Linked DNA regions of Schizosaccharomyces pombe. The gene in region 2 interacts genetically with the main gene of each other region. Each region holds a gene or a part of one and is shown on either strand. Other genes may lie near its edges.

Region 1 (7,518 bases), on a different chromosome or scaffold from region 2:
TCTTCATCCTCGTCCGTCCGGTAACTCCTCTCGTTTGGATAGGAATTCGTCACGCCCTTTTACCTCCTCCTTCCATTCTGCTCCATTTTTAAGTTCTTACGGCTCATCAAATGACCCTTCTCAAGAACGTGTAAACGAATATTCACTTCCCTCAAATTCAAATTCAACTTACACGACACCTCTTCAATCAATTAACAACGAACATCCCCTTCCCACTGTTCTGGAAAATAATGCTCTTTTAAATAACTCCGGTAACTCCCCTTCTTTAATAAACCATTTGCGTCAATATCTTAATCAAGATTTTAGTCGTCTACATCAATCCCCTTCACCCATCCCTAATTCTAATGATAATGACTCTCAAACCCGCCGGTCGTCTTGGTCATCTATCGCTTCTGCATTTAATGACTTTCCTGAAGAATTTCCGAATGCCAGCAATCCTGAAGCGCATTCGAATTTTACACCTCTTAACGGTAATGATGAAAGCACCGTCAATATGCTTAGCCGGTTACTTTCTGCTGCTGCCATTGAAACAGTTGCTTCAATTATGAATAGCGAAGCTAGGAATATGGACTCCCAGAATATGGCAAACGGTGAACCATCTCGCTTTCGTTCTGTTGATGGTTCATTTGAACAGTTCTTAACCGACCTTCGTAGTGGAAATTTGACTAATGTTCTTCAAAACTCTTCTCAAAATGGAAATGATCAAATTTCTTCTGACCCTGAGTCTAATTCCTCAGACCTTCAATACTTAAGGATGTTCCGTTTTCCGTCGTTTCATCAGTCTCACAATCAACCTGCCTCTAATAACGAAGCTTCAGATACAAATGGACCGGCTTTGGTGCCTGTCCTTATCGTTTGTATGCGTAGCATTTCCGAGACTTCCGAGGATCATGCGCCAACTATGACTCAAGAAAATCAAAGCCTTCATAACGAGAGTAGAGAAAACATATCCATTAACGATATAACCGAAAGAATGGCTCAGTCCACTGAATTTTCCACTGATCTTCCTCCTACATTCGAGAGAAGCAATTCAACTTTTTCACATCCTGAACCTACAAGAAGTGACTTTAGCCAGGCTTTTACGCCGGTATCCGATTTCCCTGCAAATCTTTTTCCTGGTTCCAGAAATTTGTTTCCAACGTCCAACTCGGGTAATCAATCTACTTCTTCGTTTTCGCGCTACAATCAACCTACTGTTTCCGTGGATTTAAGGAATTCAAGTATACTAAGAAGAGCTCAAGAACCTGTAAATGGTTCAACTGGAGAAAATCACATTGGAGATGATTACATTTCTTCATTATTGGATAGTTCAAATTCCAATTCACAACGACCGTTTTCAACAGTGCCTTCTGAATCAAATGTTTTTTCGAGGAACGCCTCCGGCAATTTCTCGATGTCACAAACTCATCAGCCGACTACCGATAATACCTCCTCATTTTCCACACAGCCTGGAAGGTTATCTACAGGACTCCATCATTTTCCGTCTGATCGAGATTTACTGTCTAATCAAACTAGACGTTCTAGCTTAGCACGGAGCTATAGATTTGAGGAACAACTTTCTGTTGATGATAATACTAGCGACTTTAGTACGTTGGCTTCCAATGGGGCTGCCGACATGGTTACTCAAACGCATTCAGAGGGAACTTTCTCTAATAGCACCCATGGTGATTGGCTTATCTATGTGTTTGGTGGTCTGTTTCCAGAACATCATCCAGTTTTGTCTACAGTTAGCTTGTTTAGCGATAATCCCATGTATGAAGACTTGTTGGCTCTTACTACATACCTGGGTCCAGCGAAGAAACCAGTCGCTTCTCATGAAGATGTGAAACGATCGGGCGGACTTTTTGCATATTTCGATGATGCTTCACTTTCTAGTGCTGATTCTTGTCTAATATGTTTAGAAACTTATACTAACGGTGACATATGTCGCAAGTTGCAGGCTTGTAAACATTTTTTCCATCAGGCCTGCATCGATCAGTGGCTTACCACTGGTAATAATTCCTGCCCGTTATGTCGGGCTCATGGGGTTACGACACAAGCTGAAGAGGAAAATTAATTTTGACTTGAAATTAAAGCTGGCCTTATTCTATGTTTGTTCACTCTCATTTATTTTCCTTCATCCGTCAAATTTGTTGAATAATTGTTCGCACTATTTGCTTGTGAATGAAATCTACATAATAGCTCTTCCCATTTTTATGGCTGCTATAACCTAAAACTGCTTGACCTTGTTCAACTATCTCTTTGGGACTTTCTCATTTTTCTCATTTATGACCTTATTGATAAAATTTTTGTAATTTTCTACTTGCTGCACGGAAACGAATTGTTTTGTTGTGCGTCTTTTGTTAGAAATAACAATTGCCTTTTTTACAAAGCTGAGTTTTTTCTAAAAATCATTTTAGTTAATCGGTTTGCACGTTTAATATAATTTATTTTCCTTTTAGAAATTTTGCTTCGATTTTTACATATTAGTTTAGATACAAAATTGATGCACATTATCACTTTTAAATATATTTTCTAACAAACAAGAGTATTCATATTTATAATCATGTAAGGATTTTAATAAGAGATCATATTGAATAAGCTTAAATTATAAGGATTTGGTTCTAAGTCGATCATCGAAAGTTTTTAGAATGACGGTGTTTGATACCCTAATTAGTCTTCATGAATACAATTATTTCAGGTCTGAATTGAGTTATGACTTAAAACTTTTCGAAAATAGGAATTAACAGAAACAACAATGATAAATGGAAATGCAGTGGGTCATTCAAAAACCATGTAATTCAGACAAATATTAAAAGCGAGAACTACCATCACTAAGATGTGGAAATCTCTTAAATGGTGAGCTGCTGTCACGACTAATTCCGCTGTCATGAAGATGATGAACACTTCTTCTTTGAAGCGCTATAGGGGTACGGGGTGTTGAAGTGAGATGATCATGTGAAGAACTTCGGTGTTCAAGGAAGGTATCTATGGGTTTTCGGGGTGTGAAATATTCAATAGATGCGGTTGTGGGACCACGAGTAGTATTAATGGCAACATCTCGTTTAACTACCGAAAGTCGAGGTTCTACAAATTTCTTATCATACTCAAAGAATACCTGGCGATGAAGATATTGTTGATCTTTCAGCAGTAAGGAAAATTTATTGACAAAATGCAATGTTGTAAACGAAAGGAGAAAAGTCAACAAAGTCACGCGTAGAGAAGTGCTATAAAACCATAAAATCAAGGCATGAGCAGGAGAAAATAAGCAAGCAAAATTTAGTAAAAATTGATTTGGGCTCCATACTTTCAATTCAAAAACTTGTTCATCGCCATCATCATTATTTGAGTGCTGGAAAACTGGTTTTACATTGGGAGTAGAAGTCGTCGTGCGTTTGTCTTGAGGCAAAGTTCTATACAGCTTATTTTGAAATCGAGTGCTAAATATGAAATTGAGAAAGCTGATGAAAAGAAAACAAATTGAGAGAAATGATAGGAAGGCACGAAACCAGGACCTAGAGGTGTTGATGGACTGCTTATCCACAAAGAGCTGGTTGCGTTGAACTGGTACATGCGTACTTTTTATATAAATGCGCATTAAGAGAAAAATAAAATTGACAGCCAAGCTAAAGGGAATCGAATAACGATCTGATACTTTATCCCACTCTACACTGTCAAATTGTTCGCAAACATAGATAAAGTAATCGATCGGAAGATTGATTATTTTAGAAGTCAGCGATGTACGACGGATTAACTTTCCCATTGAAAAGATTTTTAAGCAATGTTTTGAAATTCAGGTGTACTTTTTGAGTATAAAACAACGCCGAATTAGAAATGAAACAAACCATGGACCTGAAAGGTAAATTCCGATATTCGTATACTAATGAACGAAATTAGGGCACTTCTCCGTTTCAGGATTCAAACCTTACGTATTAATTAGAGTAGCAAAGGCTTTTTAATTAGCTAGGTCGAGCTTGCTATTATCGACTTCAATTGCAACAATGAAGGATAAAAAGTTTTTTATTAAGATAACTTTTTAAATCCGGTACGTAAACAAGTGTGCAATAAAAAAGAAAAAAAAAAGAATTTGCTTTCGCAGGTTGATGTTCCTAAGTATTGGTGTTATTGATGGTTTCAACTTTACCACTACTACTGCTGTGCAAAATCAGTCGTCGATTTAAAATTCCTATTTTTAGGAAATATAAGCTCGATCAGTGACATAAATTTAAACAGTTTCGTTTGACGTTTTACTAATTAATGAATTATTTCCTTAAAATTTAACGGCTGAAGTTTTTTTTGACTTATGTTTATTGTCTCTTATTAATAGTGATGCATGTGGTTTAACTTTTTATTTAATAATTTATTTTCATGTTATGTTTCAGATTTAAATTTTTTAAATCTTTATTTCACGGTTGAAATCAAAAGTAGTTAATATAGCTCATAATATTCAGCAAACAAACTACTCGCCATTCTTGCGCAGTTGATACTGACCTCTTTTTCAAAGGACTTTTTAATAATCATCATCACAGCCATTGTTAGAATTTTGCTTTCTTGTTGGAGAGATTGCTTGAAATAATAATTCTTTAACTAAGAATATATCAGATGTGGCTGTGATTACAACTTTTTATTCAATTTATCGTTATTGATATTATTTGAACCAGCGGTTAAACAAGCATTATCCTAAAGTTGATTCAATTCACATAAACTCTTTGCTCAATGCCACCCAAACGCAAAGCATCCAAGAACTCTGTTCGCGGAAGGAAACGTAGGACACGGACCAATAACTTACCTCTTAATCCTGAAGTGAAAGAGGAAACTGTTGTATCTTCAACTCACCGTCAAACTCGTAGCCAGTCGAAAAAGCCAAGTTTGTCTTCCTCAGCGGAACCTCCTTCTGAGAGTTTAGATGACAATATATCAGCGTTAAACTCACTTCAAAGGAGCGCATCTTCATCCGAAAAAGGTTCCGATGAAGACAATGAGAAGTTAGGCAGCTCAGAAGATGACGAGTTTGACGACGATTTTGACACTTGGGAACAAGTTGATCTTTCTCCTAATAAACAAGAAGATAAAAAAGATTTACACATAGTCACACAGCATATCACTCCTCAACTTACAAAAGAATCGAAGAAAGGCTCTTCTAGTGCAATGGATAAAAGCATTCGATTATCTATTCACATTATGCACTTTACTTGCTTGTTGTACCATGGGTCAGTAAGGAATCGCTGGTTAATGAATTCCTTACTTCTTGATGGGCTGCGCGATTTGCTTGTCGAAAAGCAACCGTCCGTAGTGGAGGCGTGGGTTTGTAGTAGCCAGACGCACGAGGATTTGTTAAAATTGTTAAATGGGCTTCGGATGTGGTGGAATAAATCTTTTAAAATTGAGAGTCATGGGCTTCGGAAGTTGGGGTATCGTACTTTGAAACAAGGATTTGATATCGGCTTTTCGCCAGAAATATTTCATAACTTTCATGAATACCAAGCATCCTTACTTTCGCTAAAAGGAAGCCGGGATTTGGCGGCACAGGGATTTACTGCTCTCTGTCGATCTCTGAATCTGAAAGCAAGACTTATATTTTCTCTTCAACCTTTGACATTTTCTACTGCTTCCTATGATGATTGGTCTCCACATATCCTCCCTGAAGAAACTAGTACATCTATAGATGACGACCTCCGCTATCCTATTTTTTGGACGGAAATCTATGATCAAAGTGAGAAGAAATGGATTGCGGTAGATGCGGTTGTCTTGAATGGGGTATATACCAACGATATGACTTGGTTTGAACCCAAAGGAGCGTATGCAGAGTCAAAACATCTACGAATGGGTATTGTTGCTGCATATGATAACGATTTATACGCAAAAGATGTAACTTTGAGGTATACAGATTACCAATCAAGTAGGCTTAAGAAAATTCGACACGTTTCTTTTGCAGATAAGTATTTTGATTTTTATAAGGCTATTTTTGGGCAACTAGCAAAGCGCAATAAAGATGCAGAGGATATATATGAAGAGAAAGAACTGGAAAGTAAAGTGCCCATTCGCGAACCTAAAAGCTTTGCAGATTTTAAGAATCATCCTGAATTTGTATTGATTAGACATCTTAGAAGAGAAGAAGCATTGCTTCCTAACGCCAAGCCTGTGAAGACAGCAACCTTTGGTAACGGTAAGAAAGCTACCTCTGAGGAAGTGTATCTCCGAAAAGATGTGGTCATATGCAAAACGCCTGAAAATTATCACAAAGAAGGACGAGTAATTAAGGAAGGAGAACAACCTCGAAAAATGGTGAAGGCGAGAGCCGTCACAATTAGCAGGAAGCGTGAACACGAATTTCGGGTTGCTGAAACAAATGAACCAGTGCTTCAGGGTCTATATTCTTCCGATCAAACTGAGCTATATGTTCCGCCTCCAATCAAAGATGGTATTATTCCTAAGAACGGTTATGGTAATATGGATTGTTTTGTTGAGAGCATGATCCCCAAGGGCGCAGCACATTTGCCATATCGAGGAATTGCTAAAATTGCCAAGAAACTCAACATTGATTATGCGGATGCAGTTACAGGGTTTGAATTTCGTAAACATCGTGCGATTCCAGTTACTACAGGTATAATTGTACCTGAAGAGTCGGCTCAAATGGTTTACGAAGAATTTCTTGAGTGTGAAAAAATCAGAATAGAGAAGCAGCAGATGAAAGAGAGAAAAATTATTTATGGGCAGTGGAAACACTTGCTAAATGCACTTCGTATTCGAAAGCGTATTGAAGAACAATATGCTTAATTCCTGGCTTTCGTCGGACACTTTAGGGTTTGTATAACCGGATGTGTGTTTTTTGAACAATGAGGATACTTAATTCCAAACGTTAGACTCATTTATTTATTTATTGTTTTGCAAAATTGACATTTGGTTATTTGTGAAGTATTTTATTTATTTAAAGGAAAAAGAGGAAGCAAACTACCAAATTATCTAATATTTTATTGATTTAAAAAACCCCAGATTTTTATAGCACTATTTTTCATATTGGTGGATCACACTCTATTTTTCGCTTTATAGATCACCCAATTGCATTACCTTGCCAATCGTACTACAAATTTTTTGTTTGAAGGAACAACGACTTAATAAAATAAAATAAAAATAAAAATAAAAATTTTCATTACACGGTAATATCCAAGTTGCTTAAAAATAGCTAAGTCGTAAATTTTATTAAAAAATTAGATATATTCATATAATATTAATACTTTTTAGCATTTTTTACGAAAAAGATGTAGTAAATATAGTTTAGAAGGAATCTTATCATGAGTGTTGCTAAGTACCTCGGTAACCTCGATATTATGGTATCATGGTAGGCCCATTTAACACCACCACGCTTTGTTGCAAAAGCGCGTACTATGCATATATTCTTGGCGTTTACCAACCACGCATTTTAGTCATATAGAAAGTGGAGCATAAGAAATCTGGTTATTGAAAGGCAATTATTCATTCAATTACTCAAAAATCTCCCAGCTGGGTAGTAATGGTACTGGAAAGGAATTTTTATGAAGA
Region 2 (7,308 bases):
AAAGAATTAGCAAAATTTCCTCTATTTTGGAAACAACCATGTCCAAAATGGGAAGTTTGATGCTTTCTAGAGCAAGATGCCTTCTTGAACTACGAAGTGCTTTATTTTTTGTCAAGCGAGAGAGTCAGGATATTAATAATGTTAGACAGAGTCTTGGAGTTTACGGTAGGTCGTTTATGACTTCCAGTCGTATGGACAAACCTTCAATGAGCAATAAACCTCGTGAACAAATGTACGGGCTAGGAAACATGACGGCGGTTCAAGAGCCCATACCGGAAAATTCTTTGAAAACAGTAACTTTGGATCAAGCACAAACCGCTGCTAGTACGGTTACGGGATTGCATCCTATATATATGGATTTTCAAGCTACCTCTCCTCTCGACTATCGTGTACTAGATAGTATGCTTCCCTTCTTCACTGGAATTTATGGAAACCCACATAGTCGAACACACGCCTATGGCTGGGAAGCAGAAAAAGCTGTTGAAAATGCACGCCAAGAGATAGCATCTGTAATCAATGCTGATCCAAGAGAAATTATTTTTACATCTGGCGCAACTGAATCAAATAATGCTATTTTGAAAGGTGTTGCCCGATTTTACAAAAGTAGGAAAAAGCATCTTGTTTCCGTTCAAACTGAGCACAAATGCGTTTTGGATTCCTTACGTGCTCTCCAAGAAGAAGGGTTTGAAGTTACTTTTCTACCTGTTCAAACTAATGGCCTTATTAATTTGGATGAATTACGTGACGCCATACGTCCTGATACTGTTTGTGTAAGTGTAATGGCCGTCAATAATGAAATTGGTGTTTGTCAACCACTAGAAGAGATTGGCAAAATTTGTCGACAGAAGAAGGTTTTCTTTCACTCAGATGCTGCTCAAGGATATGGAAAAATTGACATTGACGTCAATCGAATGAACATTGATTTAATGTCTATTTCTGCTCACAAAATTTACGGCCCTAAAGGAATTGGAGCCGCTTATGTTAGAAGACGTCCTCGTGTACGTTTAGAGCCGCTTATTAGTGGTGGAGGTCAGGAACGAGGTTTACGAAGTGGTACTCTTGCTCCATCTCAAGTAGTGGGATTTGGTACTGCGGCCCGTATATGCAAAGAAGAAATGAAGTATGATTATGCACATATTTCCAAACTATCCCAAAGATTAATAGATGGCCTTCTTGCAATCCCATATACATCTTTGAATGGCGACCCTAAATCTAGATATCCAGGTTGTGTCAACATTTCTTTCAATTATGTAGAAGGGGAATCGTTGCTTATGGGTTTGAAAAATATCGCGCTGTCTTCTGGTTCTGCCTGCACATCCGCATCTCTAGAACCGTCTTACGTTTTGCGTGCAATTGGTCAGAGTGATGAAAATGCTCACAGTTCTATTCGTTTTGGTATTGGCCGATTTACAACTGAAGCCGAAATTGATTATGCTATTGAAAATGTGAGTAGACAAGTTTCTTTCTTAAGGAATATGAGCCCGTTATGGGATTTGGTTCAGGAGGGTGTCGATCTTAGTACTATAGAATGGAGTCAACATTGAAGAACGCTTAATTTTACCTATTGAAGATTTTATTTTTTTTTTATATGAACGTATGGAAGTTGAAACTTTTTACCAGCTGTTATATAGTTACAAAAAACTAAATTGTAAATTATCTCATACTTGATTTGAATCTATACGAAATAAATACACGGTTATGATATAAAAAAAAACATAAATTTGATAAAAATAAAATATAGTACCATTTAAAAAATATGTACCCCCAAGTCGTCAAAATTATAGCCAAAAAATGATATGAATCCAAAGCATAAACAAAAAATGTTAAGGAATATAATTAAAATGTAAAACACTCATTGAGAACGGGTACTTGCCTGACGATAAATATCGAAAAGCTCTTCTGTGTAGCGAAAACATTCATCTCCCCATATGGACATGGCGTTGGCTGGATCGCTGCCATTGTACATTTTACAATTAGCAAAGATTCGAAGAACTTCTCGATACAATTCATCCACTTCCGTGATGTTACCCTCTTTGATCATATTCTTCAATGTTCGTAAGTCTTGAGGTTTATAAACTAAAGAATCGTAATCTGGTGCCTCTTTACGATTTACAGGATGACTAAAAGGTGCTCCAAACCTGTGATTAGAAATATTGTCGAGCATAGGAAGCATTGCACTTTGGAACTTTTTCAAAGACTGCTTTTCTTCATTAGACAGGGCAGCGCGCTTTTTTGGAGTCTTAGTTGTGGGTGCAACTTCGGGTTCGATATTTGCAGGAGCTGCAATCTCTGGTGTTTTCTTTCTAGAACGAAGAGATTTATTAGCAGCCTCTACAGGAGCTTCAGTTTTCGCTTTTTTTGCTTCCTTGTCAGCTTCTTCAAGTGCGAGTTGATCCTCCACAGCTTTTGCCTTTGCCTTTGCAACCTCTTCATATAAGCTTTCCAGTTTTTTTTCACATCCCTGTATCTCTTCAGCCAAATCCTTTAGGACATCGTTCCGCAGCCTTTTTCGTAGATTTTTTCGAGCATCATTATCGTTTTGAGAAACTTGGTTGGAGAGAAGCTTTGAATCAGATTTATTGCTATCATGCATCCATTCCTCGACCAGATCCTTTAATTGATCTTGTTCAATTGGCTCTAAAAGCAGGCTGCTTTCTGCCGTTCGATTGAAGAGTTCTTCGTTGGGAGCATTAGGATTTTCTTGCTGAATATCAAGATATTGTAAAACAGCAACCTCTTGAGCAATATTCATTATGCACTATACTTGCATCATCTCCACTAATTTTACAAGACAAGACACGGTAGAAAGGGAGTCCTTCTTTTCGTAGTGTACTACCTCCTTCATACGGCGTGCGCGTAAAACCTAAATTCTCGTTAGAGATTGCTGTAAAACTTCATTAACGCAACAATGCTAAATAATTTACGTTAGTTGCCAACCTTACACATGTTGCATATCTTAATAATTCAATGTCTTAGTTTGAAGACTTCTATAGAATTGCAGTTTGTCAAATTGTAATTGATTCCTATGATACCAGTGAATTATGTTCTATAAACCTTTTGCGTAAAATCTTTAAATTTTGCTGGATAGTCACATCATACTAACCAAGTTTCCAACGTTTTCTGTAACTAACGCAATATTGAACAGATCGCAATAAAAATCATCGTATTTTTACTGCATCCTTAAATTAGATAAGGTATTTTGTAGATGACACCGTTTGATAAGTTACTTTAAATAAGTTTTGCGATTGCAATTAAAGAATCTGATATGTAAGCTACGCAGTTTGGTATCTGATTTAAGGATACGTAGAACTGCGGTGAGTTTTCCTTGTGATCTATTATATTACAATACACAGGTTGTATAAGTAGCAACTGAGTATAGGTATTGTATTAACTGGGTTATAATGTTACCTATCACTAATATAGCTCATAACTGAACTGAGGAACGAGGTTCAGCAGTAGCTCTATTTATAGTATTCAGATAATATTGATCTTAATAGATTATCATTAAGATCAATCTCCATATCGTATCATACATGGTACGATATATAATTAGAACATGTGACATATAGTGATACGCAACGTAGTGTATCATAGCGTAGTGTAGTATTGCTGACATGATATACAGTTTAGCAAGCTACTTAATTCCTTTTCCGTCATCACAAATAGTTAAGCTTTAAAGTATCAGTTTATAAAGCATTGCATACCACAATGAATTGCTTAAAACAACGTTATCAATAACCTATGATAACGTCGGACAGACTGATATCTGATTTCCTTTGTAATTTTTCATTCTTTGTGCCAAATTGATCCGCTGCATTCCATTGCATTGTAAACTAAAAAAAAAGATGAAAAAAAAATCTACGGATTTATACGGGTAAGTAAAGATGTGAGAAGATGGTAACAAAATGGGTTTGCACACAAAATAGGGTCTTTCTCATTGGATATATGCAGAACACCTATGTTATTACAAATCCATACTTTTCCATATTTTGGGGAAGTTTGTTTAAAAATACAACGATTCTTTTTTCTTTATGTATGTGCCGAAATGCTAATCTCTTTATAGCCGTAAAAATCCCGGGATGCAATCGATGTCAGGATCGTTTTCATCCTTGCAAATTGCGTTGGATGAGTCCAGCTCAAATTTTAGTACGATATATGAGCCTCCAGACTTGTCTGGTTTAGACGCAGAAATGATTGTTATTGTGAAGAATTTGCAAAAGCGTGACATCGTAACGAAATGTCGAGCTTTACAAGATTTAATTCAGTGGAATGACCCATCACAGTTTGACAATGAACAGTTTCTAAATGCTTTGGCAGTTTTATTTCCTCGACTATCTATAGAAGTGGAACGACATGTGCGGTTAAAAATCTTTGTCTTCATGTCTGTTCTATCTTCTGCGCTTCAAAAAAAACTTGCACCATGGCTCAAATTCTATATCACACCTTGGGTTATGGGTTTTTTTGATTCAGATCGTGCAGTCTCTGTATCAGCAAAAGACTCTTTTAAAAATTTACTCTCCGAAGAAAAGTGGCCCCATGTTTGGCTGAAGTTTGGATCTACTATCGCACCTATAGTCACTGATGTTTTTTTACATGAAGACAAAGAATCGTTAACGGATTTGCGTTTTTTTTCAAATGAAGAAGCTGAATCGAAAGTTACCAGAGTTAAATCTAGCTGTCTTCTGACCCTTTCTTTTCTTTTCAAACAGACTGCCGATTTAGAAAATCTAGAGACAGATAAGAAGATAGATAAGCAAACCTTTAAGTCATCTCTTTACGAGAACTTGTCTACACTTTTCAAGTCTGACGAATTTTGGTCTTTGGTTTCCTCACCTCAGGATGGTGTCACAGTGAGCCTGAGCGATTTATTGCTCATTATCTTGAAGTATGATAAACCTTTTGTTACCCAATATAAAGAGAAATATTTTAAACGTGTTTCACGAATGATTTCACGACTAACTAGTTTGACCTGCGTCCCTATGCTTAGGCTTCTTAGTAACATGATTTCTAATTTCCCCAACGAGGTTCACCAATTTGCAAATGATTCAAAACGTCCTCTTTCAAAGTTGTTCTCAAATTTGATCACCAAGCGAATCAGCCTTCCTAATTCTGGGTTTTACACATCCTTGCTGAATTTGTTTAAAAGTATAGGCGCTATGCAGCTCGTTCCTTCCATTGAAAGTGTAGACGAATTGTGTGATGCATTCTTAGAAACTGCAAATCAAGAACAACGTTTCCTATCTACTGAAGTTTATGACTGTTTACTCAATTTCTTGTCATTTGTTTATACCGATTCTTCCGATCCTCAAATTAAGGATCATGTCCGTGACCGTTTAAGGACTATATTTACCAGGTATTTTAAAGGTGAATTTGTTCTACGCTGTTCAACGTCTGATTTCGATCATTGCTTGCAAAGTGTATTCGATAAAAATTCAGATTTCGCCTCGCTCTGGAACGAAGTGTTATTTGGTTTCTTTAATGATGAATCTATGGACATTGAAACTATCCCATTTGATTCTTTATCACGTAACTTAAGCTTAACCGTTCAAACAGTTTTATATCTTAAAAATAGAAATTTTCAAACTGGAAATGAAGTCATGTCGATTCTGGGACCTTGTTTGTCATTTTTAATGAAATTGTCTACCCACAAAAATGAACGTATTGCATGTTTATCGGCATCCCAGTTAATAACTGTTTGTCACATATTCAGTGATACTACATTGATTAAACCCGTTAAGGAACTTTTTCAAAAATATTTGGTGAATGATTTGCCTTCTTCGATTTTAAAGCTTGGGCCTCAATCTCCAGCCTTTACTTTGCTTCGTGATATTCTTTTACTTCTTAAAGATTACGCGGATCTCTCTGAGCCTTGGGAAAATGTTGCTAATCAATTCACAGTGTCCTTTGATGAACTGGAAAATATTAGGGTTTTAAATAGTCTTCCCTCTTTGTTTGCTGATGGAAAACTAAGGGGGAAAATTTCCTTGGTAAAAACATTAGTAGAATACTATGATACAGCAGTATTTGCTATTATGCAAAACCCAGGAAACGATTGGGATATGATAAGAGCGTGCATTGGGTCTAAGGAAATCCTTGTTCCAGAAGAAACGATTAAAAATATTTTGTTTACGACCTTGGAGTATTTTCTTACGAATGATTGGGTTGATAATCATTTGATTATTTTGTGCGCATCATTGCATTCTCTGAAAGCTCATCTTCCAACAATATTTGATGAAAATAAATCCTTGTATTCTTTGCTTCCTGTGATCCTTTTCAGTAAACCAGAAGATGATGGCCATGTTGCAGCTCATTTTGAAAGTATCTTCTCCCTATTGAAAGAGAAAGCATTAGAAGATTCCGGTTTTTCTCTTAAACTATGTTCAGAAGTGCAGGAATGGTCATTGAATAAGGTTTTGAATGGTTCTATAAATGAAAAGTTAGCTGCTGATAAGTGTGTTCTTGTTTTCAATTCGTTTGGAAAACTCCCTTCAAACTTCTTTACGTTTCCTGCCTCTTTTTGGGATGCAAAAATATCCTCTTGCATTCCTTTTTTCTCTAACAAGTTGTTCATTGACCAAGATTTTATTCTCGGATTTCTAGATTTAGTTGCCTCAGAGCCCATAAATGTTGATATGACAGACGTAGGTACTCAATTTGTGCATATATTCCATGCCTCCTTATACACTTTATATTATGTTGAAACTACCGGATGCGACGGTGATGCTTTATTTAACCTTACGTTTGCTTATTTGTTAATACGAATTTATTTACAAAATGGCATACAAAGCATAATTGATGTTCCCATCCGAGATGCTGGAATATTTGTGGAATCTTTTGAATGCTACTTCAAAGGTGAAGTGGTTAAATTTATGCGCGATAAGGATGCTTTGACAGTATTAAATGAGCTTTTAATTGATGATATAGATGGGAAAATGCCTGTATTGTTTAAAAGATTTAAAAATTTGTCATCTGCAGAGAATACTACTTCTTTTTCTATATTTGCCGCTCAAGGGTTAACAGATTTTTTGATTGTTGTCTCAAATTTGTTAGAAATGGATGAGAAACACGTTGATGTTGTTTTAGGAAAGCTGGGCTTGAGCTCTTCAAAATCCCCTATTTTCGTATCTTCTATTTTAGAAGGATTGAAGCCATTAGAAGTAGATTCTGAAATTATTCAACGAATTCGTTTTAAAGCAGTAAACGATCTAACAGGTAAACTTCACTCTGCTAATGAAGTTTCTAAGTCTCTGTTGATTTTGAATGCGGCTACCACTCAACAGATTACTGAGAAGCCCCTTCTTCCTATCA
Region 3 (7,616 bases), 1.2 Mb from region 2:
AAGGGTTTCTAGAGACGCTTTTCTATCGCAACTGCTCGGAATCTGCACTTGAGACACATTCAAGACCGTCTCAGTCTCAACAGACATTTGCATAGGCTTGGGCTCCGACATATCCTCCTGATTAGCAGAATTTACGTATTTTCGAAGTTAGCTTATGAAAATATTTTGATTTTCGATATTTCCATTCCTATGTATATGTATTGGCATTCCACATTGGCAAAGGATAAATAGTGCAACATACATTTGACAAACGTCAAGTTGCCAAGCCCTACCCTAATTAAATTATTAGCTGCTAGTGCTAATAACTCCTTAAAATTTTTGACGTTAGCAAACTACTACGTGAAAACCAGGAGAACTTGTAGAACTCCCGGTTTCCTTTAAATAATCTCTGATTTTGGTTTCTTCATGTAATAGTCTTTTATTAGTACTAAAGCTTTTTATCTCCGTATTCCTCGATTTTTAGGAAAATACTGATTAGTTCAATATTTGAAAATGCTTGTTACTTAACGAACTGACCGTATGGATAATAACGACCAAATATCAAACCTTTGTCTAGGGGCTTTACAACTGCTTGCCGATCAACCTATTTCGGTTATCTCGAATGAACCATCTGAAGAACAGCGGAATGAGCACGTCCTGAAAAAATGGGAAAATAACGTTTTAAGACATTGGAAAATTCTTTTTTCTCTTTTTATGCAAACTTGTGGTGATAGTGTACAAGGAAATGCTGCCTTCTCAATCCTCAATTTCATGACTACTAATAGTTTAGTGGGACAACTATATCAGCGACTATATGATGAGTCTAATTCATTGGGCTTTATAAGTAGCCCTTTGAACGAGACAGAACATTTGTCGGAAGAAAATTTAAAAATCGAAAGCAGTATTACCTTCACTAGTGAAGAAATTGAGAAGGAAAAAGAAAATATTAAATCTGTATTACTTCCTTCAGTGCAATCTATTTCTTCTTCTTTAGAATTGTATGCGTCTAAAGAATCTGATTATAGAAGCTCAATTGAAGGTGTATTAGCTGACTTGAAGTTAGCGCGTGCCCGTTGGGAAATCGTTAGAAACGTGACACAAATACTTTTGCTCGAATCCGGCATTAGTTTCCTAGAGAACAAAAAACTTGCATATATCATGGATCTATGTGGTGATCGTGAAGACAATTATAGTTCCTATTAAAAGTCTTTATTTTGTTTGTGAACGAAAAATTTGGTATGTTTTTATGAATGTTATAAGCCCAGTGATGCTTTTTTGAATTTCTTCAACGGAGCCGTTTGTCTTATTGACATGCGATGTGGGACGATATTTGACATACTGAGGGCCAATCATTCATTTTTCTGACTTCATAATTTTTCTTACTAACCTTTAGAGTAAATGAATTCTTTATTATGAATATTTTTAATAAAAGCTCCTTTTTTACTCTTTGTAAAAATTTTAGAAACTAGAATACATAAAATTTTATTTAAAGGTACTCTAACAACAATAACGGATGTAAAGGAGAAAATTGGCGAAACCGTAAAAATAATAGATTTCTCTACAAAATGAAGTAGGGTTGGGCGTTATCGGTAAACTGAATCAAGCGGACAAACCACCGTTGTTTTTTTAAAAAAGGAAGGCTTATAATAGTCGGAGGTTTTTGGAATGAGACAATATAGAGGCGCTGATGTCAATTGTGAACATCATCAAAGGTATACTAATATATAGTAAATAGATTGTGAACAATCAAAAATTTTGCGAGCTCAGTAATTCTTTCTCCACAGTCGCAAGAAAACTGGCATCTGCTAATGTATAAAAAGTCAAGAGTCAATAGTATATACAAATCAGTTATAATTTAAAAACCGTATGGACAACAGACACTTAATTATTTTGCTTTTTAGAAGTAGTCACTTCTTTTGAACGACCGTCAAAAGCACCACGGTTACCTTTGCGAAAATTCCTTTTCATTCCATTATAATTATCGTTGGACTTCTTATCTCCCGATTTGTTGAATTTACCGGAAAAAAGACGGCGTCGTTCTTCTATGTTCAGCGTGGCATTGTTAATTTGCAAAGTTTTTTTGTTCAAAGCCAATTGCACGCATTCATGGTTGACAAAATCAACATATGCGGTGCCTTTGCGACGAGCAAACTCAATAGCCTTGACTGGTCCAAAAATGCTCATAGCAGATTTCAATGACACATCAGATGTTTCGGGAGGAATGTTCTTGACGAATACAGATGTCTCCAACAGTTCATTACTCTGAGTGTACGGCGCTGTTGGCTGCTGAGTTTGGTCAGCATTAACACCTTTAACTGTTTGACCAGTTGTAGACGCAGTAGAACTAACTGATGCTTGGGATTTCACATCAGGATGATTACGAGCTATGAGATCAGCCCAAGATTTAGGTGCTGTAGCAACATTTGCATCGCTAGCCCCTATAGCATCAGCATTCTTCGAGTTTGAAGTCAGAGCTTCATCTTGAAGCTGATTTTCCTGCTGAGAAACAAAACTTGGGACTGAGGCTTCCGTAACTTGGATAACGGGTTCTTCAGGAACAGCCAAAGTAGCTTGATTTAGACTGTCGGTCTCATTTGATATAAGAGCGGCTGTGGCAAAATTATTTTCTGTAGCAGCTGGATCCTGGTAATGGCCTTCTTCTTTTGCAGAAGGTAAATGTTCTTGAGATTGCACGCCATTTACGTAAGGTTCAGAAGCAACATCTTTTTTCTCTTTTTCAACAGCATCAGGTGACTCCTCTTCTTCCTCAACATCTTCACGCAAAAAACGGAAAATATCGTTTAAAACAAAATAACCATTTGGTTGTTCTGCAAGGAAAAATGTTTGAGCAAATTTTCTGGATAATTTCCCCTTATTAGACATTTCACCCAGGACCTGGATGACAATGCCACCATTCGAAGAAGCCAAACTGTCAACGTTTGAAATAAGTACTTTGCAATTTTGAAAGTCCAAGTCCAATATCTTGTTATGAATTTCCTAACACGTTAATAAAATGACTATTGGGCAAGACAACGATCATAGAGTTTCGAAAATCGCAAGCAGAATATCACAACCTCAAAAACTTTACATATAAGAATTGTGTTAAAGCATACCTGTTGTCCATGACAAAGACTAATACTCTCGCCTTCGTCTCCGTGAATTAAAGTTGACTTTTTAGTATAGAAACACTGTATTACAGTTAGTACGGTTCACAAGTTGAAGAAAAAAAAACTTTTGGTAAATTATGACGACCTACATGAAGACGATTGGGTTCTTTATTTAAATATGTATAATATTCTTGAACGAACATCCATCCTATCTCATCCTTTCCCAAAACTGGTTCTAATAATGTGGCATTTTCCGCAGTCATGTTTTATTTAACTGTGACAATAGCTATACAAAGAACAGAAAATCTGGCTCTAAAAGACCCAAAACAAAATTCGGTCGTGTCTTATGTTTTCCGTGCGTTGGTCTTTTTAATGTCCCATCTCCTTGCTTTCAATGTCCGTGATTACAGCATTTCGTAATTGGATTTAACGAGACTAAACGATATTTCTGTTGATCTTTTACATTCAACTTGTTCGCATAAGTAAGTTAGTTGATGGAAAGAGAGACCTTTTGGTCAGAAAATTGTTTGGTTTTTCATTTCAACAAATAACATAAACATCATATGATTTACCATAGATCAAAGTTGCATATATTTCTTTCTATTATTGTTTTGCAAATTGATTATATTAGAAACGTTAATTCATTGGAAACCACTAAACATTTTGAATAGTAATACGACTATATACTGTGCTAGAGAGATTAACCTGCTAATGATTTTGCCAAAAGTCAATTAGTTTAACAGCTTTAAATGCAATCGTCTAGAAAAATTATGATACTAAAAAGAAAGTATGCGAGCCTTTAAATCATTTAATTAACGAAAATTGAAATTACTTTCTTCTTCTTATTTACCAGCATTAAAGGGTTAAAATCTAGTGCTATAATTGCAACGTATCTTACTTTAAATAAATTATTTATTGATAAATTTTGTAAGACTCAGGAAAGTACCTATCCTATCCATTTTGTTCACTGCCATTTTGGTGGCATTAAGAAGTTTCACTCGCATTGCCAGTTATCCTCCTCCTACACCAATTCAGGTCAAAAAAGTTTCAAATCCTTTAATAGTCTTCGTTTTATAGTATTAAAATCCAAAACTTGTCTGTTAAGGTATAAACTTCTGATAAAGACATTTTGTTGCATTACTTATTCGAAAATTGAAAATTTGTCAAATACTAGAATGGCAAGATTGACTGCCCCAAGCAAAGGTCCTTCATTTTCAAATTTAAACAAACCAAATGATTTGTTGAAAGCGGAAATTGAAGATAATGAAGCCTCACACTACTCTCAAAATCAATCATCTGACAGTGATTCTGATGAAGCACCTGAAGAAGTTTCGCTGAAGAGCAGCAGCGATGAGGTAAAAAAGAGACTTCAACGTCTGAAAGGGAATGAATTACAGTAAGTTTTAATAAACGGAATGAGGGAAACACTTAAAAATACTATTTGTTTTGGTTTGAGACAGAATAATAATTTGTTTGATAAAAGTTCGACTGCTCATTTCGTTTCCTTGCTTTTGATAGTATTATTTTTAACACATTTTAGGCTTCGAAAAGCTGAAAGAGAAAAACGTAGACTGCAAAATGAAAGAAATCGTGAAAGAAATGCCCAACGGGTAAGCGCATCAAAGTTGGATTTGGCTATTCTTGAGGCAGCTGAAGTTGAAGAAATTAATAGTACCACGGAAATCGAAGAAAAGGTTGACGAAGCAAGCCTTGACCTATATACTCCAAAAGGACATAAAATTGTTTTTCCTAATAACGAAATTCCTAAAAAACGTACTCGTTCATTTCGTAAAGGTGATTTTAAAGTGAGCGTTCTTAAAGAAACAAATGACCCTTTACTAGCGCCGAACTATGAAAAGAAACTGTCACAGCGTAAACGGGATTGGATAAATCGACAATCAGTTCCCCGGGCGTCTAAAAGACGACGTCCCTTGACTTATTAATTTTCCTTTCTCTATTTGGCAACACATTCGCTGTAAATTGAAAGTCAGGCACAAGCATTGCATTTTCTGTTAATATAAGGGTTTACTTTTTTGTTTATTAATAATATTGGTTGGGAAAAGGTTGTCTGGGTTCTAAAACATTCATTATTTGAAGCTTTGGACATGCTAAGTGCAGTTTACGGCTGTTTTTTTGGTAAATGTTTAACATAGTATTTTTAAAAATAAACACTTTAGACAAACATGAGTTAATTAAAGTTGTATCAAGGATTTATTGCCATGCACTAGAGGAAATTCGCTCATGTAACGTTTCGTACATCATAGATATTATAGATATCAGTAGCTATAGCTCATAAGGCCAAAATTTGCATAAATATATTATTAATTGTCTAGTGTATGAACATTTACTACTTATAATTATAAAATATTTGCATATAAATTTCTGAGATGGTTTGTACTTTCGACTACTTGCACTAGGCAAACTTCGCTTTTTAGCACCACAAAAATTTTGTCACTTCAAAGCATTGTTGACCTTCACCTCTGCAGCCATGTCGGCCCAGGATGTCGAAAACGCAGTAGAAGCAGCATTAGATCCTTCTGTAGGACCAATAATAAAGCAACAAGCTACAGATTTTATTGGTAGCCTTAGAAGCTCATCTACAGGTTGGAAAATATGCCATGAAATTTTTAGTGAAAAAACGAAATATAAACCATCAACAAGACTGATTTGCCTTCAAACTCTTAGTGAGAAAGTTAGAGAATGGAACAATGAAAGCAATTTGTTAGAGTTACAGATGATAAGAGACAGTGTTTGGTCTTATATTAAGGAATTAAGCTTTTTGGATGAACCAGCTTATATTAGTAATGCTGTACAACATTTATTGACATTATTGTTTCTTCAACTATATCCAAGCAACTGGAATGATTTTTTTGCTTCACTCCAAGGCGTTATTGCGGCGTCGTCTCAATCTGAGTTTTCAAATTTTTATTTGAAGGTTTTACTTTCCATCGGCGATGAGATTGCTGATTCATTGGTTTTAAAGACAGATGTTCAAATTCAAAAAGATAATTTAGTAAAAGATGCAATTAGGGCAAATGATATGTCTGATATCGTTTCATTCGTCTATGAAATGATGTTGGCCTATAGTAATGCTAAAAACTATGGCACGGTTGGATTGTGCCTTCAAGTATATGCACAGTGGGTATCTTGGATCAATATAAATTTGATAGTTAATGAACCGTGTATGAACTTGTTATACTCTTTCCTTCAAATTGAAGAATTACGTTGCGCTGCATGCGAGACAATGACCGAAATTGTGAATAAGAAAATGAAGCCACTTGAGAAACTTAATCTGCTCAATATTCTTAACCTGAATTTGTTCTTTTCAAAGTCGCAGGAACAATCCACTGATCCTAACTTCGACGAACATGTCGCCAAGTTAATAAATGCACAGGGTGTTGAACTTGTCGCTATAAAATCCGATCCTTCAGAACTTAGTCCAGAGTTGAAAGAAAATTGCTCATTTCAGCTCTACAATCTTTTTCCATACCTTATCAGATATCTTTCTGATGATTATGATGAAACCTCGACAGCAGTTTTCCCCTTTTTGTCCGACTTACTTGTCTCACTTAGGAAAGAATCTTCTTCCAAAGAACTTAGTGCTTCTTTAAAAGAATTTCTTAAATCTCTGCTAGAAGCTATTATAAAGAAAATGAAATATGATGAATCACAGGAGTGGGATGACGATCCTGATAGCGAGGAAGAGGCCGAATTCCAAGAAATGCGTAAAAAATTAAAGATTTTTCAAGATACCATTAACTCTATTGATTCTAGTCTATTTTCTTCGTACATGTATTCTGCTATAACTTCTAGTTTATCTACTGCTGCTACATTATCTCCTGAAAATTCATGGCAGCTTATTGAGTTTGCGCTATATGAAACCTATATTTTTGGTGAAGGATTGCGGGGTCCCGATGCATTTTTTAATGAAGTTGATAAATCTCCGACTGTTCTTTCTCAAATACTAGCATTAGTTACCACTTCACAAGTTTGCCGACATCCTCATCCGTTAGTTCAGCTTCTGTACATGGAAATATTAGTACGATACGCTAGTTTCTTCGATTACGAATCTGCGGCTATTCCCGCTTTAATAGAATACTTTGTTGGGCCCAGAGGAATACATAACACAAATGAACGTGTTCGTCCAAGAGCATGGTATCTGTTTTATCGATTTGTTAAAAGCATTAAGAAACAAGTTGTAAATTATACTGAATCATCTCTCGCCATGCTTGGTGATCTATTAAATATAAGTGTTTCTCCCGTTACTGATATGGATGCGCCAGTACCGACATTAAATTCCTCCATAAGAAATAGTGATTTTAACTCTCAGCTCTATTTATTTGAGACTGTTGGTGTCTTAATTTCTTCAGGTAACTTAACTCCAGAAGAACAAGCTCTTTACTGTGATTCACTTATAAATGCACTTATCGGAAAAGCAAATGCTGCTCTTTCCAGTGATTTGTCGGCTTTAGAGAACATTATTTCCGTTTATTGTTCGCTGATGGCTATCGGTAATTTTGCTAAAGGATT
Region 4 (8,289 bases), 1.5 Mb from region 2:
TTACAAATTGCTAAATTTGGAGTTCTAATAAGGTGCTGATGATTTGTTTTCAAAAATTCAGACAATGAACAATTTATTCTAAAACTGATAAGATAGACAAGTTATAATAACATCAGCAATTTCGTATGAAGTTGACTAATGTAAAATCGCATATATCTAATATATGTTATATTGAGTATGATACTAAATTATAATTTTGATATAATAAATTATAATGCTAATGCTACATTTTAAATTGGAAATCCTAAGCTCCTTTATGCCAGCTCCTATTCCTTTTTCAAATCTTTCAAAATTATAGCTTACACCTCTACTCTTTGAATTTCACAGTTATTTTTTATATATACTTTTTATTTTAAAATAATTATTGACATCAGTCTAAATTCTAAAGCAACATTTCAAAAAACGTGAACAAAAAAAAAATGAAGTTTTAATTTCTAAAGTCATTAACTAGCTAATTGAATATAAATATGATACTGTAAGCGGTAATATAATTTTTCAACTTCGCATTAATCGCGCTTGAATTAATAAGCTCATAACCAAAATCGAAAGTTTAGCACCTACATAAGCAGATCTTGTACCAAAGATTGCCCAGATGACAGGATGAGTTGTCTAATGAAAAGTATTTTTCACCCGAAAGTTTTCGGAAAGCGTTGGTTTTAAGTCCAGCATATGTTCAGAAAGCGATTCCCATCCTGATTTTGAATACACACGATTAGCAAGATTCCAGCAAATCTCTGCCATTTTACAATGGCCACAGTCCCGCCAAAAGCCAGCGCTATATGCAAACCAAAAAGCAGCTTTTCTGCGGCGATTTCCATCAGTAACACCAACATGTTCCTTATTACTATACATTCCAGCTATTGTCGTATTTAAGAAAGAAGTTTCAAACGGATTGAGGGAAATAGGGCCTGGTTCCAATATCTTTGCAAGCCAGGATGCTGCAAAGTCGATACTAAACGCAGGCTTCAACGAGAGCAACAAGCTTGTAACTAGCACACTTCTAAATGTATAGTAAAAAGAGTGAAGACGAACAGCATAGATATAAACCATTTCGTCGAACCATTTGTTCAAATACGAAATTTGCGACTTCAAGCTGATATTCCGATTTTGCATTAACAGACATATTATTTGGATTTCCTCGCAAGACGCTAAATAATTCCAGGCTTTGTCTTGAGAAAATGTATTCCGAATCTCATCATAAATTTCATAAGCACGTTTGTAATCACGAAGCATAAAAGAAAAATCCGCCATTTTTCTTTTTATGCTTTCCTGCTTTTCTGAAGAATAAATAAGGGATAGTGGATCATAGTTACCTTGAGAATGGCTTGAATGATTACGAGACCAGTATTTTTTGGAGGCAAATAGAAGCCTGGTAGTTAAATTACCGTATTGAGGGGTCAGATCTTCTTCCCAGGCCCGTACGCATCTTTGCATAAAAGGATATATACTATCATACAACATTGTTTGAACAAACTTTTTCATCCCTTCCACTTCTTCTACAGGCAGTAAAGGATAAAGAGGCAAACACGATTGTTCGGATTCGGCCTGAACTTCTAATGATGATCTCCATTCTGGAATTGGAAATTTTCTTAAATTTTTAGTCACAAATGTTATCGGTTTGGCATCATCACTAGATGAACAAAAGCTTTCGCTTTCCATCGAATCTCTAGGTGCATTTTTTAATGACTGTATAGAAGACGTATCATATCTGTCAGTATCTAAAGGTTTCGCTGATATGTAATTCGACCTTAATCTAATAAAATGAGAGTTTGCGCCAAGACTTCTCCGCATTTGCTGAAAAATTTGCTTCGAATTTGAAAGATCGTTGTTATCTTCATCATGTATAAACAAATAGTAATGTAAAATTTCTTTAGAAATAAAATTAGGAAAGGGCGCATTGTTAATTTCTTTGAATAAACGCATAACAGTTGCCATAGGATTGGTATTATGAGACGTTATAACAATTAGACAACCCACAGGATGAGAAAAAGTTTCATGTTCAGCTACCGGGTTACCAGAAAGTAGAAGTTTGAGATAATCCAGAATGGGATTTAAAAATCCATTTTCGGGGTAATTATTGCTGCCCGATTGAACCCACTCTTCTATGAGCTTCTGACTCAAGACTCTGAAACTATCAATGTCACCGCCAGGAGCAAATCTAGAATTTGCGCAATTTTCTAATCCGTTTTCGGTATTCCAGGCTTTATTTCGCTTCCACTGCCGAGGAACTTGTACTGCTTCCATAGGAACAAAGCGAATTGAGTCATGATCATTATCAAAAATCCTAGAATCCAAAGTTTCCTTTGAAATGGCAGAATTGTTTGTCGAGCTCTGAAAAATGCGATCTCCGAACGGTCGAATAAAAGATGCAAAATCGTCAAATCCTTTACGCTTCATGAAATTTTCTGTGTCATCAGATGCCATAATAAATATGTGCGGACAATATGTGTCACTGATCAGCTGTCGAAGCTTTAGCCCAAACGCATTGTTGCTCACCGATGACGGTGTTACATGAAGAGAACTTTGAGATGCATTAGGAGCAATTTCAGAAAGGCTCCTGGTTATAAAATTTGTTGCAATGTCCATAAGGATGTGTTAACGGTATAGAGGATAAAAATTCCAAACGTAGTATATGATTGTAGCAGGTCGTCGCAAATTTAATAAAATTTTGCATAGAGAAGCCAACCTATGCAAATTAAGGATTTATTACAATGTGTCATTACAAATTATTGGAAAAAATCCCCGAAAATTCCAAAATATTATGCAAAAGAAAGAGATGCAACTGCGAACCGGCCTGTTTAGTAAAGAAACATCGTATCGTTAAAGTAATTTAAGGAGACATACAGGTTGAATGGGTATAAAATTGTAAACAAGGTTGATGAGAAGACGCCTATAATTAAACAAGGTATCAAGAAAGAAGTTGCGTTTCCTGAGTCACAGAATCCTTTTTCGATTGCTGTTGATCGTCTGGCAAAATTTCAGTTTTAGTTTCATTACTGAACTGATCAGAGGAGCTTCTGCTTCCCCTAGTAACATTTTTCTTTAAGATTTTGTGAGGGAATTTAGCAAGCGATTGATTGAAATCGGCAATATCCCGTTGCTTCTGAGCATATCGAAGAGCATAAATAATTTGTTCTTTATCTTGTAATTCATCTCTTAGATCTGCAATTTCGAAATTATGGTCAGAAAGCAATTCCTCCATTCGTAAACGAGCTCTACTTATAGCAGTTCCTTGCGAACGCTCTGCCTCTAACATGGCAATGTATGTATCTCGTTCCTCTAAGTCCGAAGTCAATTGCTTCACCAAAGAAGCATAATATTCAACTTCTTGGGCATTCTTTTCAAGGGCAGAGTGTAAAGATGCTAATTCAGCTTGAACATTAGTCACAGCTTCCGCTTGGCGAATATCTTGAGGCAAATTTTGAGCTCTAGATGCAAATTTAAGCGTGTTAGTAGTCTCCATCGTATGGTTGGATTCTATGCTTATCGTTGCTAAAAGTGATATTTGTGATTGGCCGGATAAAGATTGCTGCAACAGACGAGTTAACTTAGACTCACGATACGGTATATGTCCTGAATTTGAGGTAAGTGAAGGATTTGCAGCTGCTGACAACCTAGAAATAACAGTTCCTAATGTTAAAAGAGATTTGTTGATAAATGCTCCTTCTTTGCGTCTTTCATGGTGAGCTGAAGCTCTTTCACTTCCAGCGAGATCCACCAAGCTGAGACTCGAAATTTGTGAAGTGTGAGCAGTAGGATTATTTCGAATAAGAAAAACCTGAAGAATTGCATGCGAACGAGAACTATACGTATTGAAATCGGTTGCTGCTGTTTTTCGGATTGCATTGCACTGTTCAATAACCTGACTAACCTCTTCGGGGCTAGTGACGAGAACTCGAGTTAATGGTGTAACATTGACTTCTCCAGATGCATTTTCGCGTATTCTTGGCTCTTCGTCCGAGTTTCCGATTAAGTCTCGTATTCTCTCATTATAAATTTCTAAATAGGATATACGGATTTGAAAGGTATCGTCATCAGAATTGTTTTCAACCATTTCAAATAAATCATTCATGGCAAGTGGAATAATACCAGGTTCGTTTTCCGTACCTTGCATAGAATATGTTTTTCCTGTGCCGGTCATTCCATAAGCAAACACTATTCCATTATATCCGGAAAAAACATTACGGACAACCGACTTAACAGAACGTTTGTATATATCGTAATTTTTAGATTCCATCCCAAAAACATTATTAAAAAGATATTCTTGCTGAATTGTGGACGAGCTTGTACTTGTTTGCTGGCGAATGTATTCACGACCATATGGGTCATTGCTTAACTTGCCATGTGACCATACACCTTGGTTTTTACCAATAGGTCGAATACGTATACTTGTGATAATTCCTGAACCAACAAAGTTGCTCTCTTTTAAACCTTTAGAATTGGTTTGTTGACTTGTTGTAGATTCATAATTAACATACTCATTTTTTAAATAATCCAAGTCCTTCGACGGATACAAGGCAGGACGCGTGTATCTATCTAAAGTTCCAGGAGACATCAATTTCTCTGTAACTCCCAAATCAAATGCTGTAGGCCCATTTACATTTGTTTGAGTGCTATTGCTTCGTAGCATAGGTATGGAATAGTTCGAAAAATTTCGGGACAATGGTGACGTTGGGGAATATGGAATACTCCCTGTTCCACTCTGAGATGGACCAGTCCGTATGCCAGTCATTGTAGAATAGCGGCGAGGTGTAACCAACCCAGTATTCACGGGTTTTGAGGAAGATGAACTCATTTCATGAAGTAGAAAAATAACAGGTTAGAAAATGAACGTGCTTATATAAAATAAAAAGAATAGAAAAATTTCCATTAAGTGGTGGTCAAATTTACTCAGTTTTGAAATCTTTCAACAAGCTAGTGAAATGTATTAGAATTTGTCAGACATAAACTACCTTCACCATTCACTTCATTCGCACATTAAGGAATCTCAAGACACTTCGGCATACTTACCTCGTTACGATGGTAGTAACCATTATAACGAATAACCAGTAAACTATGACAAGTTTATATTACTAATAACCGGATAAAGTAAATTTCATTAATATATAGCATAATGTAAATTGATTTATATTTCCTTTTTGAGTAATGTTAACAAAAAACTAGCTCTTTTGCCTATAACCCTCTAAGATTAACACACCCTGTTATGCCGTTTTCTAGATGTAGTTACTTCTTTTTTATTTAACCGAGCTGAATTTCTCAATATTAAATCCTTAAAATCTGGCAAAGATGAAAAAAATATTAATGTATAGTAAAGGTAAATAAGTTGCTCTGGATAAATTGGCTGAACACTGGAAGTCCGAGGCTATAGGTTTCAAGCTGTCTATAATTTCGATTCGTCCAATCTGTGTTAAAAACTTGGTTTTAGTCGTTCACTGTTGTTTGCGTTGTCTGTCGGAGACCCTTTTCGTCCTCTTCAACAGGTAGCTGGCTTTCGTAAAATTTTCGTAACTCTTGTTGTCGCTTTAGGTCTTCAAACCTTTCTTTTTTAATTCTTTTCCTTTCATCATCTTTTTGAACTCCCGCCGACATTTTCTATACTTACATTAGCTATGGTGCATATTTTCTTTAATATAAGTAAATATTACCTCTCGTTCAATAATCTGATTATTATGTACGAAATAAACCATGTAAACACTAAAGACACCGGCCCCGACGATACAAAGTTTTGAGGCAGTAGACATTGGCAATAATTCTAGTTAAATTTAATATAATGTATACGATAGACTTTTGTAGCCGAGTAAAGATATACTCTTAGGTAAATTAGGAGGTTAGCAGTCGAAACTTACGTAAATGCCAATCGCCGACGTTAAAAAAATTGCTCAAAAAAACAACAATTTTACTACATGTCAAAATACTTTTTAAAATATAACAGATCTTAGTTCATAAAAATTAGAAAGAGTATAGGAAAAATAATAAATTATTCATACATGCCTATTAATGTTTTTTAAAGACTGCTAATACTAATTTAGTAAATTTATTAGAGCCATTGGCATTAAATGTTGCAAATTCCAGGAATTAACCGGTTCTCAAAGGTATTACAACTTGATACAAATAAATGGAACTTCAACGTCTTCACCGTTGGCATCATCACAGCAAATTTCAAGCACCAAGTGTTTCCGGAAAGGTTCTAGTTTTTTCTTAGTAATTTGCTCAACCAATTCAGAAATTTTGAGAGGCAACCTTTCAGCAAGTTTCTTAGGTGGTTGGAAATTAGCATACAAAAGAGAAACTCCAGATGAAAGCATGGTCACTTCCAACCCCTCTTCTTTTTGGAAATAATCAATAAGCTCTTGAAGTGTGCAGTCCGGGAGATTGTAGCGATCCCAGATTTTGTCGATTTCTTTACCATTGACTTTCATTTTCGGAGAAGCAATAGGATCAGAAAATGTAAAGAGCCCTATAGCAAGGTTGAAAAATCCATTTTTATATTCCTCGATCTTCTTTTTGCCATCAACAAGTTTAACAAGCTCAAGACATACAAGTCCTGAAACGACAGCAGTTGATGTACACATGGCTGGTACAATTTTACCGGCAACAAACTTCGTCTTAAACCTATCCGCAGGTGTGATGTCGTAATTCATGGCACGCAAATTTGATGCAGCCGTTATAAAGTCAATGTGATGATTAGAGTCATCGTCCTTTTCAAATTCTGCCGGAGTTAGTCTAAAACCCACAAGAGAGGATGGAGGTGGTAGACTGTCAGCAATCGATTTCAGTTCTTGTTTATCTTTATTAGCAGCGGTTTCGGGAGCTTCTTCATTTTCATTGACTTGAATTTTAATACCAGACTTGGGAGCAAAGGGAGGAGGATTGTAGCCAGCAAGAACGCGTTCGTAAATAGCTGGGTCTGTCTCACTCTTAAGGCCGTAGTTGAATGCATAAAGACTGGCTGCTGCAACTATGAAGTCAAAATGCTCACGGTTGTGAATATCAAAAGATAATGGAGTAGGGGCACGCTTAGGACCAGACCAAAACGGTTGGCCAGTGGAGGTTACAGAATCCTTAGGGAAATTGAAAAGTAATTGCTGAATGTTGTTGTTAAAGAACTTATCAAACTGCAAACGGGCCCACATAATACATTCCTCAAATGAAAGAGGCTTCTCCGTAACAAGATAATCTCTAATATTTTCTAAAACTTCACGGGGGTTACTACTCGTTTTCAATGAAGTTTCCAAAAAGTTAGGAGAACTAAGGTACATATTAACGTTATCGATAGGCTGTTTAAACAAGCCTTCAAAGAGATCGCGAGCCCATGCAATGGTGTGCTCAATACGGTTAGGAAAGTTCTTCAAAGTACAGATAGGAAATGACTTTTCAGGAGGGTCTTGGGATGATCCGTACGACTCTGTAAGATGAGGTACAACAACTTGCGTATTACCCTTAGTACCCAAAGTACCAGACTCTAATAATGGCTTTTCGAAAAATACACAACGGCGGTCAACATACATTCGAGCTTCGACGTTATCCAAAGCATTCGTGACTAAAGATAACTTTTCAAAGAATTCATCGCCAAATATGCCTTCGCTTTCTGGTCCAACACGTTCTTGATATGAAGTTATTTTACCAGTCAATGAAGGATTCATGATTGAAACAGCGGTAGAAGCACATTCGGACTTCAGCTTTCCGACGTCACGAGGACGAAAGAGAAATTGACGATTCAAATTCGATTTTTCAATGGAGTCCATATCAGTAACAGAAATATGACCACTTTCACCAGTAGCGACACCCATCATAGCCCAGTTTTTCAGCATTTCACATCCAATAGCGCCAGCACCAACCAAAAACGTACTCAAAGAAGCTATTTTCTCTTGAAATTCCGAACCGAAAACAGCGATTTGCCCATCGTATCGACAGCCACGAGGTTTACAAGTTTCTTCACTGATCGTTACAGAAGATGGCAAGCTTTCTAAGGAGTCAAAATAGAAGTATTGCTTCAATGGGTAAAATTTACTGGTGGTAGCTTTCAACACTTCCTGTGCTACAGCACCGCCCAAAAACGCGGACATTGCAACCAAATCACCTCTTGCCTGGTATGAAATTTCCTTAATTAGTTTTTCATCGAGTTCAACATCAAATTGAAGTGTGCTTGCAATTTTCTTACAAAATTCGAAAAATTCAGCTGCATCAATGTCGTTACGGGGTCGAGGCAATGAACCTTCATGCGCATCGGCAAATGCTGAAAGGGCCTGGAAAGCAATGTGGTATTGTGGAGGTCTCATCATTTTACCA

Evidence for each region.
Region 1: mutations in bdc1 (region 2) and nur1 together harm fitness more than expected from each alone (negative genetic interaction), as found in Schizosaccharomyces pombe (2 studies listed by BioGRID).
Region 3: mutations in bdc1 (region 2) and utp16 together harm fitness more than expected from each alone (negative genetic interaction), as found in Schizosaccharomyces pombe (2 studies listed by BioGRID).
Region 4: mutations in bdc1 (region 2) and tea2 together harm fitness more than expected from each alone (negative genetic interaction), as found in Schizosaccharomyces pombe (2 studies listed by BioGRID).

The regions. Positions count from the first base shown.
Region 1 is NC_003421.2:447,674-455,191, forward strand, and holds nur1 (protein nur1), read right to left. Parts: upstream 4,091-7,518; 5' UTR 3,743-4,090; coding exon 2,792-3,742; 3' UTR 2,536-2,791; downstream 1-2,535. Other genes in the region: SPOM_SPCC4G3.12C (ubiquitin-protein ligase E3), read left to right, coding at 1-2,056; DNA repair protein Rhp42, read left to right, coding at 4,696-6,756. UniProt on the Schizosaccharomyces pombe protein: Has a role in meiosis.
Region 2 is NC_003423.3:2,422,722-2,430,029, forward strand, and holds bdc1 (bromodomain-containing protein 1), read right to left. Parts: upstream 2,804-7,308; 5' UTR 2,753-2,803; coding exon 1,853-2,752; 3' UTR 1,694-1,852; downstream 1-1,693. Other genes in the region: cysteine desulfurase Nfs1, read left to right, coding at 39-1,544; rkr1 (ubiquitin-protein ligase E3), read left to right, coding at 3,846-3,874, 4,064-7,308.
Region 3 is NC_003423.3:3,648,040-3,655,655, reverse strand, and holds utp16 (U3 snoRNP-associated protein Utp16), read left to right. Parts: upstream 1-3,835; coding exon 3,836-3,873; intron 3,874-3,918; exon of another isoform or gene 3,919-3,939; coding exon 3,940-4,482; exon of another isoform or gene 4,483-4,626; coding exon 4,627-5,029; 3' UTR 5,030-5,295; downstream 5,296-7,616. Other genes in the region: protein vac7, read right to left, coding at 1-111; CENP-H-like protein Fta3, read left to right, coding at 520-1,182; ubiquitin protease cofactor Nxt3, read right to left, coding at 1,861-2,976, 3,093-3,167, 3,236-3,349; karyopherin exportin-T Los1, read left to right, coding at 5,575-7,616. UniProt on the Schizosaccharomyces pombe protein: Functions as part of the small subunit (SSU) processome, first precursor of the small eukaryotic ribosomal subunit that coordinates the first two steps of ribosome biogenesis in transcription of the primary transcript pre-RNA and pre-18S processing.
Region 4 is NC_003423.3:3,889,707-3,897,995, reverse strand, and holds tea2 (kinesin family plus-end directed microtubule motor Tea2), read right to left. Parts: upstream 4,940-8,289; 5' UTR 4,796-4,939; coding exon 2,909-4,795; 3' UTR 2,740-2,908; downstream 1-2,739. Other genes in the region: trs8501 (TRAPP complex subunit Trs85), read right to left, coding at 610-2,586; Pet117 cytochrome c oxidase assemby protein, read right to left, coding at 5,422-5,592, 5,646-5,741; uba1 (ubiquitin-activating enzyme E1), read right to left, coding at 6,096-8,289. UniProt on the Schizosaccharomyces pombe protein: Promotes microtubule growth, possibly through interactions with the microtubule end, and is important for establishing and maintaining polarized growth along the long axis of the cell.